Nothobranchius furzeri: one gene and its partners. The protein of the gene in region 3 purifies or fractionates together with the protein of the main gene of each other region. This does not show direct contact. Links are inferred from orthologs where the notes say so. Each region holds a gene or a part of one and is shown on either strand. Other genes may lie near its edges.

What was found. The genes of interacting proteins can lie anywhere in the genome.
Region 1: the proteins of nuclear cap-binding protein subunit 1 (region 3) and ncl fractionate together in Homo sapiens (co-fractionation; 3 studies listed by BioGRID and IntAct, with this or other methods). This does not show direct contact. The link is inferred for Nothobranchius furzeri from reciprocal best matches to the Homo sapiens genes NCBP1 and NCL.
Region 2: the proteins of nuclear cap-binding protein subunit 1 (region 3) and kpna3 purify together in Homo sapiens (co-immunoprecipitation; 3 studies listed by BioGRID and IntAct, with this or other methods). This does not show direct contact. The link is inferred for Nothobranchius furzeri from reciprocal best matches to the Homo sapiens genes NCBP1 and KPNA3.

Annotation. Positions count from the first base shown.
Region 1 is NC_091748.1:62,945,113-62,949,422, forward strand, and holds the start of ncl (nucleolin), read right to left. Parts: upstream 2,864-4,310; 5' UTR 2,694-2,863; coding exon 2,676-2,693; intron 1,764-2,675; coding exon 1,668-1,763; intron 1,592-1,667; coding exon 1,483-1,591; intron 1,238-1,482; coding exon 1,088-1,237; intron 1,015-1,087; exon of another isoform or gene 877-1,014; intron 793-876; coding exon 505-792; intron 132-504; coding exon 1-131. UniProt on the Homo sapiens protein: Nucleolin is the major nucleolar protein of growing eukaryotic cells. It is found associated with intranucleolar chromatin and pre-ribosomal particles. It induces chromatin decondensation by binding to histone H1.
Region 2 is NC_091754.1:26,747,661-26,751,787, reverse strand, and holds the start of kpna3 (importin subunit alpha-4), read left to right. Parts: upstream 1-1,264; 5' UTR 1,265-1,396; coding exon 1,397-1,465; intron 1,466-3,909; coding exon 3,910-3,954; intron 3,955-4,127. UniProt on the Homo sapiens protein: Functions in nuclear protein import as an adapter protein for nuclear receptor KPNB1. Binds specifically and directly to substrates containing either a simple or bipartite NLS motif.
Region 3 is NC_091741.1:71,540,472-71,544,119, reverse strand, and holds part of nuclear cap-binding protein subunit 1, read left to right. Parts: intron 1-1,200; coding exon 1,201-1,303; intron 1,304-3,204; coding exon 3,205-3,298; intron 3,299-3,392; coding exon 3,393-3,496; intron 3,497-3,648. UniProt on the Homo sapiens protein: Component of the cap-binding complex (CBC), which binds cotranscriptionally to the 5'-cap of pre-mRNAs and is involved in various processes such as pre-mRNA splicing, translation regulation, nonsense-mediated mRNA decay, RNA-mediated gene silencing (RNAi) by microRNAs (miRNAs) and mRNA export.

The sequences.
Region 1 (4,310 bases), on a different chromosome or scaffold from region 3:
ATCTTCGTCGTCATCATCATCATCATCATCTTCCTCCTCCTCTGACTCCTCCTTGGCTTTGACCATGCCTGCTTTCTTTGCCTTGGTGGCTGCTGGAGCTGGAGTGGTGTCCATCTCCTCTTCTTCAGAGTCTGGAGTACAAACATCAGATCTGGACATCATTTCCTGTCCCCATGTTTTAGATCACATGATCCTTTTAAATCTACAATGGCAAATCTGCAAAACTAACTAGTCTAAAACACTTTCGTGCCTCTTAAAGGAAGACAAAAATAGTTTGTGAAGTTAAAAATTATGATAGCTGACGGGGAAAGAGAGTTCGGCGACTTTTTAAAAGCTGGCCCGTTTTGCAGATTTGCTATTGCAGCTTTGACCAACATCAGATATGTAAAAAGTGACATCAACCACAATCAGTATTAAGTCCCTTTTTCTTCATCACACAGTTAAAGCTGGTCCAGCGTAAAGTTTCTTTGTCAATAATTAAAAACAATAGAGAATCAGGCTTACCATCTTCATCGTCCTCCTCATCGTCAGACTCCTCTTTAGCAGGCTGTGCTTTAGCTGCAGATTTAGCAGCTGCTTTGGCCGCAGGTTTAGCGGCAGCTGCTTTGGCTGGAGTAGCCTTCTTTGGGGGTGGAGCTGCCTCCTCCTCCTCTGAATCATCTTCATCATCGTCGTCATCATCATCAGAAGACTCCTTTGGAGCAGGTTTGGCCTTTGCTGGGGCTTTGGCAGGAGGCTTGGCTGCTGGTTTTGCTGCTTTCTTGGGAGGTGGGGCCTCCTCTTCAGATTCATCTGAACAAGAAACATTGAAATTGGGTTATTTTTCACCCTCACTTCTAGGTAAGATTCATATAGAGCAGAAAACAAAACATGAAGCAATGTAACAGCGTTTGAGGATAGAACCGGCAGACATTAAAACACACCGGCACCGAAGACATAGCGCTGCCTTTACTTTTCCTCCGTACATTACACACATGAGTACCAATCAACTGCATGCATGCCAAGAAATGGAGGGTGTGGGGCCACTTCACTATTCACTTAGTCAAAGTTAACAAAAAAAAAAAAAAAAGTCTAAACCACCACATACCATCATCGTCATCTTCGTCGTCGTCATCATCATCAGACTGCTCAGCCTTGGCAGGCGCTGCTTTCACTGCTGTGGCTTTAGCAGCTGTCTTTGCAGATGCTGCTTTTGCAGGTGTCTTTTTAGGTGGTGGTGCCTCTTCCTCAGATTCCTCTGTGGGTGACCACGAGATAATTTCACAAATCAAATAAAATTTAACTTTTAGAAAAAAATCAATTATGCAACTAATAAATTATGCATTTAGGTTTATAATTTAAAATAAACTTTCTTAAGCAGCTCGTTATGTGTAGGCTAAATAAGAGTACATTGTGTGAGTTTGACGGGGATATCCCTTGAAAATTATTTTATTATGACATCAATAGGACCTGAAAAACCTAAATTTTATTAGTGCAGCTCACCAGAATCATCCTCTTCATCAGAACTTTCTTGTTTTTTGGCAGGGGTACCATTTTTGACTGCTGGGGAAGCTTTACCTGCTGCTTTTTTTGCTACTTTAGGTGGAGGGGTCTGGATTTTAAAAAGAAAGAAAGTTCAGTTATTTGAATTCAACAAACTGATATCAGTAACTAAGCAAGTGTTATACCTCTTCCTCCTCACTGCTTTCTTCTTCACTAGATTCCTCTTCCACTTTTTTGGGGGGTGGGGGGGCTTTTTTCTTTTTAATTTGTTGACTTGCTGCCTGAAAAAAAAAAGCCAGTGTTAATCCATAAAAACTAGAAAGACTACACAACAGTCAAAACGAATCTACAGCTCAACCGTTAAGCTTAAGTATATCAATTCAAGTTCATCCAAGTTAAACAAAAATAAATACCGCAAATAATGCAGACTGACTAACCAATCGTGACATCCGTCCGCCTTTACAGTAAACTACTTTCTCGGTTTTGGTTGAACACCGCGTGTGTCACTCATAGCGTGCGCCCACCCACGTGGAGCTCGTGAAGCTAACATAAGGCTAGCATCTGGGCTACATTTCACCACAGACGACTAAAACTACAACAAAAATCAAACCGCTTTGGGTAACAAACGTTCGACACGAAGATTCCAACAGATAACGAAAAACAAAACCCTTGAATTCGACTCAAAAACGTGTAAAGAAGATGCGGACCACGTACTTAAAATGTGCAACGTGCTAATGCTAAAACGGAATAGGATTAAACGTATGTTACATTATTACAAATGTATTACCAGTAACGTCAAAACTCTACTTTCCCACTTTAGTTTAATAAAAAAGCTCAATTTTTTAATCACAATAAAACCCAAACGCTTAAAAAGAGAAACGGACAAATAACACGACGAAAACTCGCCTAGCGTTAGCAGGCCGAGCTAGGCCTGGAAAACCAGAACCAGAGACGTCGACCAAATACAGCATGCTTTACATATTAGGGGGAAAAACTACTTTTGAAGGATTAGATTGTTAAAAATGTTGTGAAAATGCGCTGTCACTGCAACATATGCGCGCACATTCCTAACTTTGACTGGTTTTATTTTTCCAAAAACGCAGCACCTTAAGCCAAAGGCCTCGTGCGCCAAAAAAAAAAAATTCAAGCACGGCTCAGCGCGGACATTTTGATGTGATATAGATTCGTCTTACCTTTGCTAGCTTCACCATGGTTGCTTCTGATGTGTGTGTTTCAATGAAACACTAATATCTAAAGGTTTGATGACAAGTACCAAAATGTCTGCTGCATGCACGTGGATCTGTCTACTCAGTGGGACATTGGACTAGAAAGACAGACGGGTCGCAGAAGTGGTTTCTCTCCAGCTCCGCGCTGTGACGTCTGCCCGCCCACATGACCATTTCAACCAATCGGAAATTGACATATTTGCCTCGTGCACGCGCCTCGCCTACGAGCCGTTTACAGACTGTTTTTTTCTCTACACCTGAGCAAATTTCATCTAAAAATACCATTTCCGAGATTATCTGTGTGTTTAACTTCCAAGATTTGTCTTCGGATAGTGCCAAAAAAGTGCAATTTTCTAAATGTTGACACAAAGACAATGCGTCTTTATGCAACTCCGTGCAGCTGTTTTCTTTTGGTCAGCTGCCGTAAACCATCGACCGCGTCTACCACGTGGTTCTAGCATAACCCAGGGTATATTCAATCAGTTTTTAGGGCCACGTCGAACGTTTCAACCGCCAACAATAATTTGCCTTTAATAAAATATATTTTGATCAAACGTTACCACAGTTTTTCAATTGTACCAGTAAAGAGGATATCGCCCTCTCACTTTTTTTTCAAATCTCTTGAAGAGTTTGGGACACTGACACTGGGATTTTACAGCAAATACTAAAAGGGCAGAGGCATTGTGTATGCCACTGACTCCTCCAACCTGTGCTAAACATCTGGAGAAGCTGAGGTCCCACCCTATTTAGAATAGACTATTAATCCCATTTTGGGGAAATAACCTTGTTACTGCAGCACATACACTTTTAGACAAGGAAGAAGAAAACAACAAAAGTACAGGTAAACACATAGGCAGTAACCTGTTCTTGTAACATTCAACCCTCAAAACAATGAATACAAATAGACAACTGGGTTTCCAAAAATATGCAGCATAAGAGACACAGATAATGTACGTCCAGTATTGCACAATACTGAACACATGCTGAAAATGATATTTTTATATCTGATTCTATCTGATGATATTTTATCTGCCTCTCAAGATAAAAATCACGAGGTGCTTCACAAAAACAAAAAAACAATTAAAGTATAAAAAGATTTCAAAAATGATTAAAAATATGTTTAAAAGGAGAAAAGAAAAAAATGTAAGGAAAGGGAGAGAGAACATTTAATAGGGAAGAGGGACATTAATGGATCCTGGGAAAGGTGGAATAAGAGCAGAATAAGGGGAGGGAGGTGATGAAGGTCACGCAAAAGCTAGCTTGAACAGGTGAGATTTCAGCTGTATTTTAAAGGAGACCACTGAGTCCACCAATCTTAGGCTCAGGGGGAGAGAGTTCCAGAGTCTGGGGGCCACAGCAGCAAATTATCTGTCACCTTTGGTGTTTAGCCTGGTGCGTTGCACAACCAGTAGGCTTTGGTCACTGGACCTCAGGGACCCGCTGGGGGTGTAGGGATGGAGAAGATCACCAATGTATGATGGTGCTTGTCCATGTAAGGCCCTATAGACCAGAACCAGGATCTTGAAATGAACCCTGAAGTTGACTGGCAGCCTGTGAAGCTGGAGGAGAAGTGGGGTGATGTGAGTGTGTTTGGAGGACTTG
Region 2 (4,127 bases), on a different chromosome or scaffold from region 3:
GTTTTTTGAGCACCTTTTAAAACCACTTGATTATAAAATATGCTGATGACGCTGTAATTGTGGGTCTGCTCAGAAATGCAAGCAGACACGGTCCAGCCATTTAGTCTTTTAAGACACACATCTGCAACCTGAAAAACAAAGGACACGATTTCAGAAAAGCCATCAGTACTCCATCAACCAGAACAAAAGGACAAACCATTGATCAGGTGCCAACTTACCAATTTATTGGGAAAACGATGGGTTCAAATTTAACTTTTGAAAAAGGGTGAGTTTGTGTGCAGGAAGAGGCAGCAGCTATACTGTTTGTGGAATTTAGCTCGTTTTCAAATTGATGAAATAAAAAAAAAGATTACAATATTTTAGGGGTTTTATTGAATCTTTACAGTATGCTCTAATGGGAAACAGGCTTCAACACAAATGGTTGTTTTCCGCTTGGTCCTAGAGCTCAACCAGTGTCAATTTAATACAGCGTAATATTGTTTTTGGAAGGTAAAAAGTGCAGGGGTCAAAACTTGACTTTGGAAAAAGTAGGGGGGACATGTCTCCCTGTCCCCCCCCCACTCCCCCCGCCAAAATTACCTCCATGTGTTTGATGCCTTTCTAATTTCTGACAATTAATTGTTTTTTTGTGTGTTTGTGGAAGCGTTGTTTCCAGCTGTTCTCTCTCCTTGACCAGGGCAGCTGTAAAATATATTTTAAAAGTCTGCAATCCAATCACAGTTGTCCTTTTCCACAACCTGAGTGCCAGGGCGATGTGGCCTAAAATCAATATCACGATACTTCGAGGATTTTACCTCGATACCGATAAATGGACGATAATTACAGGTATGTACAGAAACAAAAGTTGTCCACTAGATGGGGCTTTCACTTGTATGACGTTGAGTCAAATTTTTACGTGACTCAAAGGGACATGAATGTTGCCAACTTACACACATCTTTTCATTTTTTTACTATCAAATTTTTAACATGGGAAAAATGATCTCGATAAGAGTCAGAATTTTTGATAATGATACATTTTCGATTTGTTGCCCAGCACTACTCATGCATAATGTAACAAACTGATTGCTGAACCCTTTTCTTTTGGATTTCCTAATAAGAGAGAAGTATCCACTGTCATGTAGAACGTAGAAGGGTGCACACTTTCCAAAAAGCTACCAAACGACTTTTTATTGTAATAAAGATTTATTAGGCACCATGGCATCAATTTCCAGTTCATCTGCTTGCTTTGATCTCAGGTGTTGGAAACCAGGACAGCCGATGTAACTCCTCCCCCCACTCTGCGATCTCCTCCTCCTCTCCGGAGCCAGCCCAGCCGCAGCAGCACAGGAGCTGCCGTGCCTCGTCTTTCACGGAGGAGATACAGACAGCCGGAGTAAAATCCAAACCCCGTACAGCCATGGCAGACAACGCCGGCTTGGAAAACCACCGCATCAAGAGCTTTAAAAATAAGGGACGTGATGTCGAGGTGAGCTCTTTTTGAGGATATGCGTTTAAATGTCTTTAATCTTAATATTTTAATGTAGATGGGAAAAGCCGACTACCGTCAGGCCTTGCTTGGTAGCCTGGCCCCGGCTGAAACTTCCCAGCCTGCCTGTTAGCTAAGCTACCACAGGGTGGTCGCCATCAAAGATTTCATTACATGAAAATTAAACTCTTAAAGACGACAGCTGTGATGGACTTCAGCGTGGATAAGTCATAAACCTCAGCAACCACTGTGACTGAAAGCTGGATCATAGTTGGGCTTTTAGAACTATGAGAATTAGGGCAGGCGATGTAGCTGTCAGTGCCGGTGTTTTAACGAAAAAGGTACCCCTGCCATTAAAAGCACACTAGTCGGAAATGCGTTATAAATTAAACCATGGTTTGTTTTACTTAACTAAATTAACCACGTTTTCTCCACATATAAGTCAAGTATCGTTTATTCTGTAAAGCTATGCAGTTAATTAGATTGTAATGATGTATTCGCAGTAGTTATGTTGAGGTAGGCTGCTAGGATGCAGTTTTTTTTTTACCCTGGAAGTCTTCGAAATCATGCATCATAATGTACATTGTTTTTTTCCCCCTATAATGTACGTTTAAAAAAATCTTGGCCATAAATAGACGTTACCCAGTGACTAAAGCAACTTATCTCGTTTCTGAACGTTAAGAATATTACAAATTTAGGTCTAAATGTAACGATAATTTAAGTAATCCTAACAAGCTGTCCTTAAATACGCTTCCCATGATGGGTTTCTTTGGCGACTGGTGTACTTTTTTCGACACGACACTAGCTAACTTTAGCTAGCTAGTTTGATGGACACCGGTCTCAAGCGAGGCGGGGCCTACCCGGCTTCAAAATCGCGATATTTCCAATCTTTTTATGCCACCCCACTGTAAACAAAAATGCTAACCAAAGAACGTCACATATAATCAATATTATATGGACAAGTGTGATTTGGGTGGATCGGTGACGGGTGCTCGTTTACCCTAGCCACCCCTCCTCGTTAGCATGCAAACGCGAGCCTGCCAACCGAGCAGCTAGTGTTGTGTCTATCTGTTTTTCTTTAAATATTTGTATTTTCAGTCACCATTAAATTAGGTGACTTTCCTCACAAAAGCAAAGGATAACAAGCTAGCCATTCTGTTAACTATAACCTGTAGTAAAAGGTTATGTCGAATCACAAATGCCCTAACTCAGCATTTCTGTAAAAATTTAAATGTAGTTTACCGTTTTATTGTAAGTCACATTCTAGAAAACACTAGATTTATTTTGTGTACCTACTAGCATATCTAAAATGCTGCATCTTTCACTGAATTTGTCTAAATTGCTCATTGACACTGTAGCCAAAGCAGTTGGTAAAGGATTTGTTTCAAGTTTAAACAAACAAAAAATAGCAAATCTATCATTTCTGGGTTAAAAAATGTTCAAATCAAATGACTAATCTACTCTGGACTTGTTCAAATTATCTGTGAAATGTAAACAATTTTCTTTTAGGGCATTTCTCTCAGCCACAGGGGGGATTACTAACAAAAACATACTTGTTTTAGTGTTGTTCTAATTTATCGGTAATCCCAAGATAATCCACAAACAAAGGTATGTCTGAGAATGCCCTTTCCAAATTCACCAGACGGGAGTTTCACCATCAGAGTGGTGCCTGTATTGGTTGTTTTGAAACTGGAAGTGTGTGTTCGACAAGCACATGGCTACTGGGATCGAGCCTCTGCCAAAGTGCATTCCTGATGCTATTTCAGGCATCTTGGAAGTCTGACCCAGTCCTTCTCAGAACCTCGGCATGAAATTGGGTTTTTGAAAGTGGGTGACTCAGACTACAGCAAATTTGTTTTAGGTCAGCTGCAAAAGAGTGCATTTCATTTTTAACACCTATTGAACTGAATGAGGTCCCACACCCAGACTTAGTATCTTAGTTTTGAATATTGAAAAAGTATTCCATTAATTAGAGTTTTGAAATCTTTTGCTCGACAGATGAAATGTGAGCATTGCTGAAATCATGTGATAATTCACATCTGTATTTAAGAAGCAGTTTAGTTCGGATCAGTACCCCTGGCATTATCATTGTTTTGCAGTGGTCTGGAGCCGCTTCTCTGTTATGACAGCCCAAAGTTACGTAAGAGGCTATTTAGGATGGCAACATGAACCTCTTTAACAGTCACAAGATCTTAGACCATCTCAAAATGCTCTGGATGAGCGAGAAACCCAACAGATGCACTTATACAGCAAAACTATTAAACAGTTTCTCATCACCTGGACTAAAATGAGTTGATTTTCACCTCAAACACAAAGATACGGTCATTTATTGTAACATGTTACATTTTTATCTCTTGTTGTTTTGTAAGACTTCCATCACACTTAAATGCCAGTGTGAAACTATATAATCTTGTTCACATTCTTTGTATTTTCTCCCGTTTCAGACTATGAGAAGACATCGAAACGAAGTGACAGTTGAGTTGAGAAAGGTGAGAAAAGATTCACACGACAGTATTCAGGAACACACAAGCAAATGCACGCACATAATCTGTCCGCGTAAGGCCGATCTGTTTCTGACTCTGGAACAGCAAAGAACGCACATCAGTTTTAAACTTCTGACAACATATAAACAACGTCAAATAGATGATAGCGTTAGTTATTG
Region 3 (3,648 bases):
AAAAGCTCCGGTGCACCTGTTTCAGAACGGAGAATTAAACCAGAGGAGAAAGTGTTTATGTTTATTTATTTGGCAGACGCTTTTATCCAAAGCGACTTACAATTTATAACCTATAGCAGTGGTTCCTAACCTGGGGGTCCCAACCCCCACAAGGGGGCGCCAAATCCTCTCAGTGGGTCGCCAGGACCTCTCCTTTTTAAGGGGTTAAAACTTCATTTATTACTTGTTTATAGCCTACATTTTGCTCACGTTTTTTTTCATGAGTGAAAAGTTTACTGATATTAAGACAGGAAATAATTAGTACAGAAAAAGTAACACACTTTTAAGAACATTTTGCTCAGCTCACTGTGTCAAAAGTTCACTAAAGATGGGACTGGTTGATTAATCACAGCCTTTACAGTAAATAATCTAGTATAAACAGTAATATACACATTTAAGTACATTTTGCTCAGTGTATTGTGTATGTGTCAAACGTTTATTGAAAGGAATGATTGATTTATCAGTGTTTACAAGAAACAATGTGTTCAGAAAAGTAAAACAAACTGTCAAGCACATTATGCTCTGTTTGGTTTTGTTAATGACTTTGTTCTGTACTGGAGCCTACAATTACTGTTATCTATTGAATCAAAGCATATTAAAATGTGCTTGAACAATTTTATCATTTCTTAATATTATTTGTACTGGTTGAGAGAATGGGAGGGGGTCGTCAAAAATTTTACTTGTAAAAAACGGGGTCCCTTGGGAAAAAGGTTGGGAACCACTGACCTATAGGGCATGTTGTGATCTGTGGGGGAAACCGGAGTACCCGGAGGAAACCCACGCATGCATGGGGAGAACACGCAACTCCACGCAGAAAGGCTGCAGCCGAGTTTCGAACCTGCAACCTTCGTGCTGCGAGGCAACAGTGCTAACCACTGTTCCACCATGCAGCCCAGCCTACTGAAAGTAGCTTCAGACGACAAGATTTGGAGTCTTATTTCCGTATTTCTGGATATCTCTCCTTCGTTTGGATAAGAACAACACAACTCTGCCACTGACTTGCAATGTGGATGTTTTATCTCCACAACTTACACAAGCCTGGAGGAGTTCTGCTGTGTGGTGGAGTTGCTAATGCATGATTTTCACTTCTGTCAGAAGCTAATGCAAGAGATAGGTGTAGAATATTTTCATGAATTCTGTTGCTGTTTGATTTGTTTTCAGATGAGGGGGAGAGCTTCAACCCTCTGAAGATCGATGTGTTCCTGCAGACCCTTCTCCACCTGGCAGCTAAGTCCTTCAGCCACTCCTTCAGCGCCCTCGGCAAGTAAGTTCAACCCATAGCTGCTGTTGGGTTTTTAACCAACATGTTCTGAATTTTTTATGCTTCTATCACCAACTTTGCCAACACAGGGCCAGTGCTGTTTAGCGCAGGGAAACAAAGACAAGCTGGATACTGGTCTAGGATTGAGCACCCCTGTTCTAGGGTCTCCTGAGCTGTTTTGGGCTTTAATTTTGTTTAAAATCTGCCTGCCCTGAGTCCCAGAATAACTGCAGGGGGGTTTAAAAAATCCTGGTGGTCAGACAAGCCATTTTCTGAGTTAGAACCTCTTTTTTTTTCCAATTCAATTCAAGTTTAAATATATAGCACCAATTCACGACAAGAGTCGTCTCAAGGCACTTCACACAGTAAACATTCCAATACAGGTCAGTTCATTAGGCCAATCAGTGAAAAGTTTCCTATATAAGGAACCCAGCAAATTGCATAAAGTCACTGACTAGTGTCAGTGACTTTATGCAATCTTCATACTAAGCAAGCATTTAGCGACAGTGAAGAGGAAAACTCCCTTTTAACAGGAAGAACCCTCCAGAGCAGCCATCCACCGCGACTCACTGGGGATCGAGAAGACAGAGCTGACACACGCATCCACACACACACATCCACACACACCATATATACCAAGTAATGTTTCTATGGTTATATTGTGATTTCTTAGTAAATATTCTATTTGCTGAGGGATAAACTTTAGTGTATTTATCCTAGTGAATCTATAATTCAACAGGTAAACTAGTATTAGCACATTCAACATCAAAGAAAGTAAAATGTTATCAGGAGAGGGAGAATGAATTAGTGGTTAGCAGCAGTGTGCTAGACGATGGCCCCCTCCATGAGGCCACCACAGTTCAGCAGAACGTCATTGTAGCTTCTTCTGGGGAGAAAAACACTTAGAGAAAAAATAAAGTTAACAGCTGAAATTGCAGGAAATAATACAGTTAAAGAGCAGATTGTAGAAGAAAGTAGTCAAGTGTGGAAAGTGTATCCTCCAGCAGTCTAAGCCTATAGCAGCATAACTACAGAGTTAACTCTGGATAATCTATCCTATTTAGATGTAGGCATGTTGGAGGCAGGGCAAGGGAGAGCCGTCTTTACCGACTGTACACTCCACCTCCTTCTACTCCCCCACTTGTCCAGATTTAGGCTAACATCAGATTTTAACCAGAGGCCCTATCAAATAAAAATGTTTTAATCCTATTCTTAAAAGTAGACAAGGTGTCTGCCTCACGGACTAAAGCTGGGAGCTGGTTCCACAGGAGAGGAGCCTGATAACTAAAAGATCTGCCTCCCATCCTATTTTTAGATATTCTGGGAACCACCAGTAGACCTGCAGTCTGAGAGTGAAGTGCTCGGTTAGGAACGTATGGAACAATCAGATCGCTGATGTATGATGGAGCTTGATTATTAAGAGCTTTATATGTGAGAAGAAGGATCTTAAAATCTATCCTGAATTTAACAGGTAGCCAATGTAGGGAAGCTAAGACAGGAGAGATGTGATCTCTCTTTTTAATTCTCATCAGAACTCTAGCTGCAGCATTTTGGACAAGCTGAAAACTTTTAACTACATTCTGTTGTCTTTAAAAGAGCCCCTGAACCTGGAATCTGAATTGGACCCCTTTTAAAGCTAGGGCCTGTTGAACAAAGTCCATCTAGACACTGATCCTCAGCAAAAAAAAAAAAAAAAAAAAAAAACACCCCCCCCAGTCCAACTGTTACCATAAGAGGATGGGCTAGCCTTGTGGCCAGCGCCGGGCCTGGTCTCCTAGACATTACTGGCTTCTTGTGTCATTTTGTGTCTTCTGTATAGAATTCTGACTTGGTTTATTTAGTAAAACACATTTCTGGAAATCTTTAAATAAATAAAGGACTGATGTTGTTTTTACTGCTGTTAGGTTCCATGAGATTCTTAAAACTCTGACCGACAGTGACGACGGGAAGCTTCACATCCTTAAAGTGGTGTATGAAGTTTGGAGGAACCACCCACAGGTCCAGACCACATTAACAGCACCACACTGCTGATGTTTGGCTGTAAAAATGACTTATTTGAATGAAATTAAATGTTTGGGCCTCTTGGTTTCAGATGATCGCCGTGTTGGTGGATAAAATGATCCGGACCCAGATCGTGGACTGTGCTGCCGTCGCTAACTGGCTCTTCTCTCAGGACATGGCCCATGAGTTCACCAGGTGAGATATGAAACATCAGCAGGACATGAAAAAAGGGGCTGTGCATAACAGAACACTAGTCAGGGTTCGTACGGTCATGAAAAACCTGGAAAAGTTATGGAAATGGAAAATGCAATTTCTAGGTCCTTGAAAAGTTCATGAAAAATAATATC